Nothobranchius furzeri: one gene and its partner. The protein of the gene in region 2 binds, or shares a complex with, the protein of the main gene of each other region. Links are inferred from orthologs where the notes say so. Each region holds a gene or a part of one and is shown on either strand. Other genes may lie near its edges. The genes, in order: brpf1 and kat6a.

Region 1 (4,558 bases), on a different chromosome or scaffold from region 2:
AACCACTGACCCTCTGGGATGTAGGGCACCCCGTAGCACTCTTGGTGCACGGCCAAGTTACACATGTCACAAAACAGAATTACATTGCTATTCTGGCATTCGCCGTCATTACAGATGCAGCAGACGGCGTCCTCGTCAATCAAGGTGCTAGGGTCTGCCTGAGGGGAGGAGTAACAGAATGCATCAGTCAACAGCTACGTTACAGTGAGTGAACTATTCTTGCCCCTACAGATAAGTACAGGTACCTTGTTGTGGCTCTCAAAGTAGGACTCCTTCTCTAAGCGGTCCATGAGGTATTCAAAGACCTCCTGAGGGATGGGCGTCACGCTGTCACGTCGCCGTTTGTCATTCATGATGCCGAGCCAGATGTAGTCCTCCTCATCCATGTCATACTCCACCTCTTCATCCAGCTCCTCCACAGACTTCTCAATATACCTGAAGTCCAAGTTTACATAACAAAAAGACAAAGGAGTCAAATAGAGAAGTGAAGCTTTCTAATAAAACACAGTAGAAAGACAATATTACAGAACTTTTTCATATAAGTAAACAAAACAACAAGTATAAAATGAAATAATCATTTTAGTCCTAAACCTGTAGTAGGATAAAGGCCGGGGTGGGGCATCGGGCCTCTCTTGGTCCAGCTCTCTGAACACGGCTTCTGGGAGCTTGACTGCAAGACCAGATTGAGGGTTGTGATGGTGAGATAAACCATCCTTCTTCTTATCTTTACTCTTGTGCTTCCCAGTCTTTGGGGTGGCCTTTCCACCATTTGAGGACGGAATTTCTGAACGGTCTTTACCGCTTCCTCCTATTTCGCTGCCTCCGGCTCCACTGTCACTACCGTTACACACCCCTCCCCCACAGCTACCAGTTCCCGACGGTGGTGCATCCTCTGCATCACTGTCTTCCTCTGAAACCACATCAATGTCGTCAAAGATGTTAATGCGGTGAATGCGTCCCTGGATTTCTAGTTCCACCATGCGCTGCGTCTGGGCATAGGTCATGGCATCTCTTCCAGGGGACTGGGAGTGCTCTGACCGGTTGGGGCTACCTGGCGTGGTCCCTTCAAGACCAGGTCCTCCATTGCCGCCACCATCATCCGTATCCCCTGAGCCAGCCAGGGAGGCACGAGGAGGCCGTCCTTTTCTCTTCTTCTGGGGCATGGCCTGAGCAGGGGTTGGATTGTCGTGGTCGTAATGGTACAGGTGATACTCAATGCCACTGAAGCTCCTGTAGACTTTCCGGCAAGTCTCCACAGGGCACTCATACGGCGGCTTGGTGGCTCGCAGATTGTGACAGAATGTCTTCACATCAAAATCTAGTCCCATCTCGCCAGCAGCCTCTTCAGGGCCAGGTGTGGTTTAACTTTACATCTGGAATAGAACACAAGTGGGAACAATGAGGAGACAAGAAATTAAAAGCTGTGGGTTTAAACTACAAAATTACTTAAGAGTTCTGAGAGTAGTTATCTGCTTTTACACAATTTAATTACTTGCGTATTAAATACATGCATTTAAACTCTTCATTCTACTAAATCTTTTGGAGAAAAATGTAATATTCACTCTGCCAGGCTGAAGAGACAAATGTGAGTAAAAATCACTTATGGGAAAGGGTTTTACACTAGACAAAATAAAACAAGCACAACAGAAAATATTTTAATCTAAATAGTTCCATGCAATAATGACCCACAGTATTTAACGATAATTTCATGTAAGATCAGTTTTGTTTGAATGGCATTGCTCCACGCATGTAACTTGTAATAACGTGTCCCTACAGTGCTGTTGGGATATTTCTGTAAATGGATAAAATGTGAACACAATTCCCAGAGGGAAATATATGAACCCACTAACAGGTGCACTTTAAGACAACATCCTAACGAATTTCTGTCATGTTTGGAGTAATCGAATAAAACAAATAAGACTGCAAATGTAGAAATAGACAGAGGGAGAGAGAGGGATATATGATAGCTAGCTAGCAGGGAACTCTTCAAACATAATGCTTTTAGTTCAGCTAACGTTAGCATGCTTCCCCCAAACAATGACTGTAGCTGGCGCAATTAGCTAGCATGCTAACAACTGCTAGTAAACAACATTTGGTCCCTTTTCAAACTACACAGCACAAATAACAAGGTTTCCACAAACACGAGGCCACAAAACATTATTTTTCTTATCGAGGATTCTTTTATCCGTAATAATATTAACCCGGTGTACCATTTTGTTGATAATGTTGAACTATAGCTGTGCTCAAATGTTAGCTAAACAAAGGCAGATGTTATGTTAGCGCTACAACGCATTTTGATACAACTGATATGAAAATAAAATGACCCAATTAATGTTTTTAAGTTAGAAAGACTGCAGTTTGATTAATTATTCAGAGCCAGCGTTTCCCTCCATATTGACCTCACCCTGTGGATTCCATACACAAGGTAGCAAAATAAGAGCGTAACATTATTATTTTATAGGCTTTGCCACAGGAAAACGGTATTTTTGACCAAATTTAACTAAGAACCATTTACGTTAGGTCACCACTATACAGCTATTTGTTTTTGTAGCGCTTATTTTGCACCAACGTCACTTTGTTTTCTGGACACATTGGGCTATTATGGTGGATTACAACAACCACAGAATCGTGTCTTCTCACATTTCCCGAATGTCAATATATGCGCAAATGCAACCATTTAGTAAATAGCACTACATATCCCGGCTACTAACGTTATAAACACTTACTACTGCACGTTCCTCAAGCAAACTGCGCGCATCGGACACCTCAGACAGCAGCTCAGACGGCTTGCAGATCGATTTTAATTCATTAGATAGTCCCAGATGAGGCCACGGAAAGCATAGGTACATTGAAACGTTTTCATGGAACAATTTCGCGTCCATATAATTTCATTGTGTGGGGAATAATTTAGTAAATCGGCTGAACAAAAGGGGCAACCATTACTGTAACGCTTAGCCGTGGAGGCGGATTGACACATTCGCCACGCAAAACAGGCTTGCTTGACTGCTTTTAGATTGGATCAGACGGAGGGACGCAGTGGGCTGAACTCTCTGCTCTGATTGGTGCTTGGATTTGAATACGCTACGTGATTGGTTGTTAGAAGTAGAGTGGGCGGCTCCACAAAATCACCATCCAACCTAAGGGCTTCTCTGGTCTGCCTACACTTCATTAGTGATTTGGTGAAAGTAATTCACAGGCTCTAATTTTCAGTTTTAATTTGTCTTTTCTTACACAAGTTGTAGTTAATGTTACAAATTAAACTCCAAATTTGGTCCAGTATCATTCTGTATACGAGTCTGTCCATCAAAGATGATCATCTTCCTTTACTCAGAAATTTATTGTTTAAACTTTACTTAAAATAAAAAGTGTGTAAATCGTTTTATTCAATGAAATCAAAACTGCGAAGAGGTAAATAAGATACGACTTCCTGCTGTCAAATTATAACAGCATTGACTAACAGCTACACTAATGGTGTGCACACAATAATTAATCAAAACCATCAAGCACAAAATATTTATTTCTCTCTCTCAACATACAGTTTGTGATAAGAATGCAGCAGGACAAAGTGGGGTAAGCAGGCAAAAGCAACCCACACAGTTTAAATACCAGCCAAAGATAATCAGAGCATAATCATAAGGACAATGATTTCCAAAAAGGAGTGAGGTGTGCAGAGGAACAGTGTCAGAAATGCTCCTCCTCCGCTCATTACAGCTCTCCGTATGATCACTACATCCAAATGAATATGCCTGTATTCATCATTTCCTCCTCTGCTCTCCAACCAGTTAGCAGCTAGGAAAAGTGGAACATACCAGATACAAGTTACAGAGAACAGAAATCTCTTACAATTGGAAATATTTCACCAAAGCAGAAGACTCTGCATAATATCCTATAAAAGTCCAATTCAAACCGAATTGATGGAATAATATACAATAAAGTGACCTCGGCTCCACAAATGCTATCTTCCAACAGTCAAAATAAAATGTACAAATACTACAAGCTATACAGGTCACAGCTTTGGCAGGACTGGGATGCTGAAATCATTTGTGTGGTGAAGATGTGAGATCTTGAAACTTTTAACACTTTTCCTGTTCCTATGCTTTGCGGATCATGAAAATATTGGCCATGCTTGTCAGTGGTAAAAAGTACAGTTTGGTGAAACCTGTTATATACAGTGAAGGAACTCCCAACAGAATAAATGGAGACAATATGTTGTGCAAATCTCCCACATCAAGTTTCATGTTAATTTCACAATACAATGTTGAAAATAAATGCAAAATAAAACAGGTTAGGCTATCGTCACAAACAGCTCATAAAATAATCAACACATCTTGTAGCAAGGCAATAACACTTCTTTGCTACATTGAAAACTAGTATTTTGTACCATCATATGGGAACAAAATGCACAACTGTAATACCTTGGTAAAGTGCAGCATTAAAACAACAAATCACAAAAGGAAAAAACATCCAATTTAATGGGTGATTGCACAAAACCTTTTACATAAGTGTGCACCGAGTATTAGCCAAGTTGAAAGAACTTTTGAAAGAGTCAGATAGGTGG
Region 2 (3,185 bases):
AGTGGAAACTGTCACGGCCATGTCTGTTCCTTCAGAACCCATGCAGCTGCAGCCTCTACACCCAGACGACAAAGATGTCACCATGTTGATGGAGCCCCAACGCCCACAACCACACTCCCACCCTCATCCGCACTCAGACTTCAAGGAGGAGCTGGGACACCATCACCCACATCACCAACATCAGCACTCCAACGAGCTGGACCTGGAGACCATGCAGGCGGTCCAGTCCCTGACGCAGGGGGAAGCCCAGGACGAAGAGGCTGAGCCGCAGCCGCATCACGGCGCTTACCAAGACTGCGAGGAAACCTTGGCTGCCTGCCGCACCCTGCAGAGCTACAGCCATGCAGGAGAGCCAGAAGAGGAGGCGCTCGCTTTAGCGGAGGAGTGTGGCACTGCGCAACACAGCAGCCCCCTCCCTAACGCCCCAGTGCCACCTCTGCCCAGTCAGTCTGTGCACTCCGCTAACAGCCCCGGGATGTCCTCTGGCATTGTGGACGCAACATCAGCAGGACAGAGAGGAGGAACGCCTGGTCCCACAGCATCAGGGGGAGCCAGCAGCACTGCCAGCAGTGGTTACACCCAGATCACACCAGAGCATCCCAGTTCCCTGTCTGCCCCCTCCCAGCAGAACATGGAGACGTCTCCCATGATGGATGTGCCGTCTGTGCCTGACCACTCTCAGCAGGTTGTGGACAGCGGCTTCAGCGACCTCGGCAGCATCGAAAGCACGACAGAAAACTACGACAACCCCAGCAGCTACGACTCCACCATGGGTGGTGGAGGCAACGGAACAGGAAATGGGGGTAATGGAGGAGGGATGTCGGCTGCTGTGGGAGCTCCAGCTCCCACGGCTTCGTCTTCATCGTCCTCTTCCTCCACCTCAGCCACCCCATCCTCTTCCTCTCAGACCAACAGCTGCTCCTTTGTCCAAACTCCCAGCCTCACATCTTCAGCAGGAAACGGGGGTTCCCAGCTGGCCATGGGCAGCTGTAGTCTCATTCAGCAAACAGGACCAGGGCCCAACGGGGGCCCAGCTTCTGGTAATGTGGGCAGTGCTGTGCCCCAGCCTCCACCACCCCCTCCACCCTCCAACACTCCCAGCTGTGGCATCAAGTCCCCTCAGAGCTGCAGCGTCATCGAGAGGCCCCCCAGCACCAACCAGCAGCCGCAGCCACAGTCCCAGAAGAAAGTTCCTCAGCAGCAACAAGCCCCCAACCCTCAGCCCCCACCCACCGCCCCACCACCCCCACAGCAACAGGCTTTGTCCCAGTGCAGCATGGGTAATGGCTTTGCATCCACACCCATGATCATGGAGATGACGGAAAGCGGTAGTGGAGGAGGGGGACGCACCCTCTACGAGCGTATGGGTCAGGACTTTGGTACCACAGGCTACCCCCAGTCCACCGCAACATTCAGCTTGGCCAAACTCCAACAGCTGACCAACACCATCATGGACCCTCATGCCATGCCCTACTCCCACTCTGCCTCCGTGACCTCCTACGCCACCAGCGTTTCCCTGTCCAACCCCGGGCTTGCCCCCTCCCCTCACGCATCTCTTCCTCAGGGCCAGCCAGCTATGACTGGACCTCCTAACCTTAGCTCTGGCTCTATGAACCTTGGTTCGCTGCAGCTGCAGTGCAACATGCCAGCCACCAACATCAGTTTGGGTCCCCCCCACACGCAGCGGCTGCAGACCCAGATGGCTACGGTCAAAGGTCACATCTCCAATCGGTCCAAAGCCACTCAGCAGCTGGCCCCGCACCAGCAGCAGCTCTACGGCCGCAGCTCAGGGGTCGTGGCCATGCAGGGCACGCCGCGCACCTTGACAGTGCAGCGCGGTATGATGCCAAACCTCATGCCCACGCCGGCACCCTACAATTCCATGAACATGACACCTCTGAACGCCATGTCGGCCAGCTACCGGATGCCCCAAACCATGATGAACAGTGGCTATCACAGCAACCCCGCTTACATGAACCAGCCAGCTCAGTATCCCATGCAGATGCAGATGGGCATGATGGGAGGCCAGGGTTATGCCCAACAGGCTATGCAGCCCAATCACCATAGCAACATGATGTACACTGGCCCCTCCCATCACAGCTACGCTGGAGTCCCAAAACAGTCCCCGTACATGAGCAGATGAGCTGGCAGGAGCCGATGTAGGAGACGTGGAGCCAGAGTTAACCCTCGCTGTATTTTAAATGTCCGGTACTCCTCCTACCTCGTCCAGTGCCTAGGCGGGCACCAGGGAGCGTAGGTAAACGGAGATGGAGCGTGTTTGGGTTTCCTGTTTCTCTGTGCAGTAATCATGTCCTGTTTTTATCTGGACTTGCTTCTCCCTCCCCCCTCCAGCTGGCTGTGGTTGGGTTGGGTTGGGTTGGATCCCTACATGGACCCCAGCTGGGCATCAGTCTTCACACTGCTGTAGGAGGTTTCTCCTCTTCACACAGTGGTGGAGAATGGGAGGACATGAATGACCAGGAAAAAACAACTCAAGAAAACCGATCCAGGGAATACCGTGCACTCAGACTGGAACAGAAAATCTGTCTGAATATATCCAACCATGCACACAATCTTTTAACTGATATAGGAAGCCTTATCTTGGAAGAAGAGACGATGAACAGCGTAGCCGGACTGACGTTTCCTTAAACATAATGTTGAATCTTTTTTTTTTTGTTGTCCTTGTTTTTGTTGACTGTTGGTTATTTTTAATACTTGTGTGCAGTCCGACCCTTCCTATGCTTCGGTCTTTATATGTGTGGCATTCTGATAATGGCAATACACCTTCCTGCTCTCAGAATAACCCCCGAGCGTTTGTGAGGCTGCTGGGTCGGACAGCTTTTCACTTATTCCAGACGAGTGTGGGAGCAGGGACTCGTGCTGCGGAGTTGGTGTTGAGCGCTTTCCGGAGTCTCCGTCTTCCCACACGGACAGTGTTGTACCAGAAACACAGGAAGACACAGAAGAGACTAGTGTTACTATTATATATCCATAAATGAAACGAGTAGCATTATTTTCTAGGTTTCTGCCACTTTGGAACTTGTAGATGTAAATACTCTGGTACTTCCCAACAGATAACACACACACACACAAACTGAGCAGCTGTTGCCAATCGGTGGCTAGCTCAGGGTAAGTCCAACATTCAGCTCTTTTTATGTTTTGCCCACGCTCTGCTGACAGAACCG

The links.
Region 1: kat6a (region 2) and brpf1 share a complex: the UniProt entries of both Homo sapiens proteins name them as parts of the MOZ/MORF complex. The link is inferred for Nothobranchius furzeri from reciprocal best matches to the Homo sapiens genes KAT6A and BRPF1.

The regions. Positions count from the first base shown.
Region 1 is NC_091755.1:57,355,675-57,360,232, reverse strand, and holds the start of brpf1 (peregrin), read right to left. Parts: upstream 2,902-4,558; 5' UTR 2,727-2,901; intron 1,374-2,726; 5' UTR 1,329-1,373; coding exon 592-1,328; intron 436-591; coding exon 246-435; intron 159-245; coding exon 1-158. UniProt on the Homo sapiens protein: Scaffold subunit of various histone acetyltransferase (HAT) complexes, such as the MOZ/MORF and HBO1 complexes, which have a histone H3 acetyltransferase activity.
Region 2 is NC_091757.1:30,182,392-30,185,576, reverse strand, and holds the end of kat6a (histone acetyltransferase KAT6A), read left to right. Parts: coding exon 1-2,143; 3' UTR 2,144-2,369; downstream 2,370-3,185. UniProt on the Homo sapiens protein: Histone acetyltransferase that acetylates lysine residues in histone H3 and histone H4 (in vitro). Component of the MOZ/MORF complex which has a histone H3 acetyltransferase activity. May act as a transcriptional coactivator for RUNX1 and RUNX2.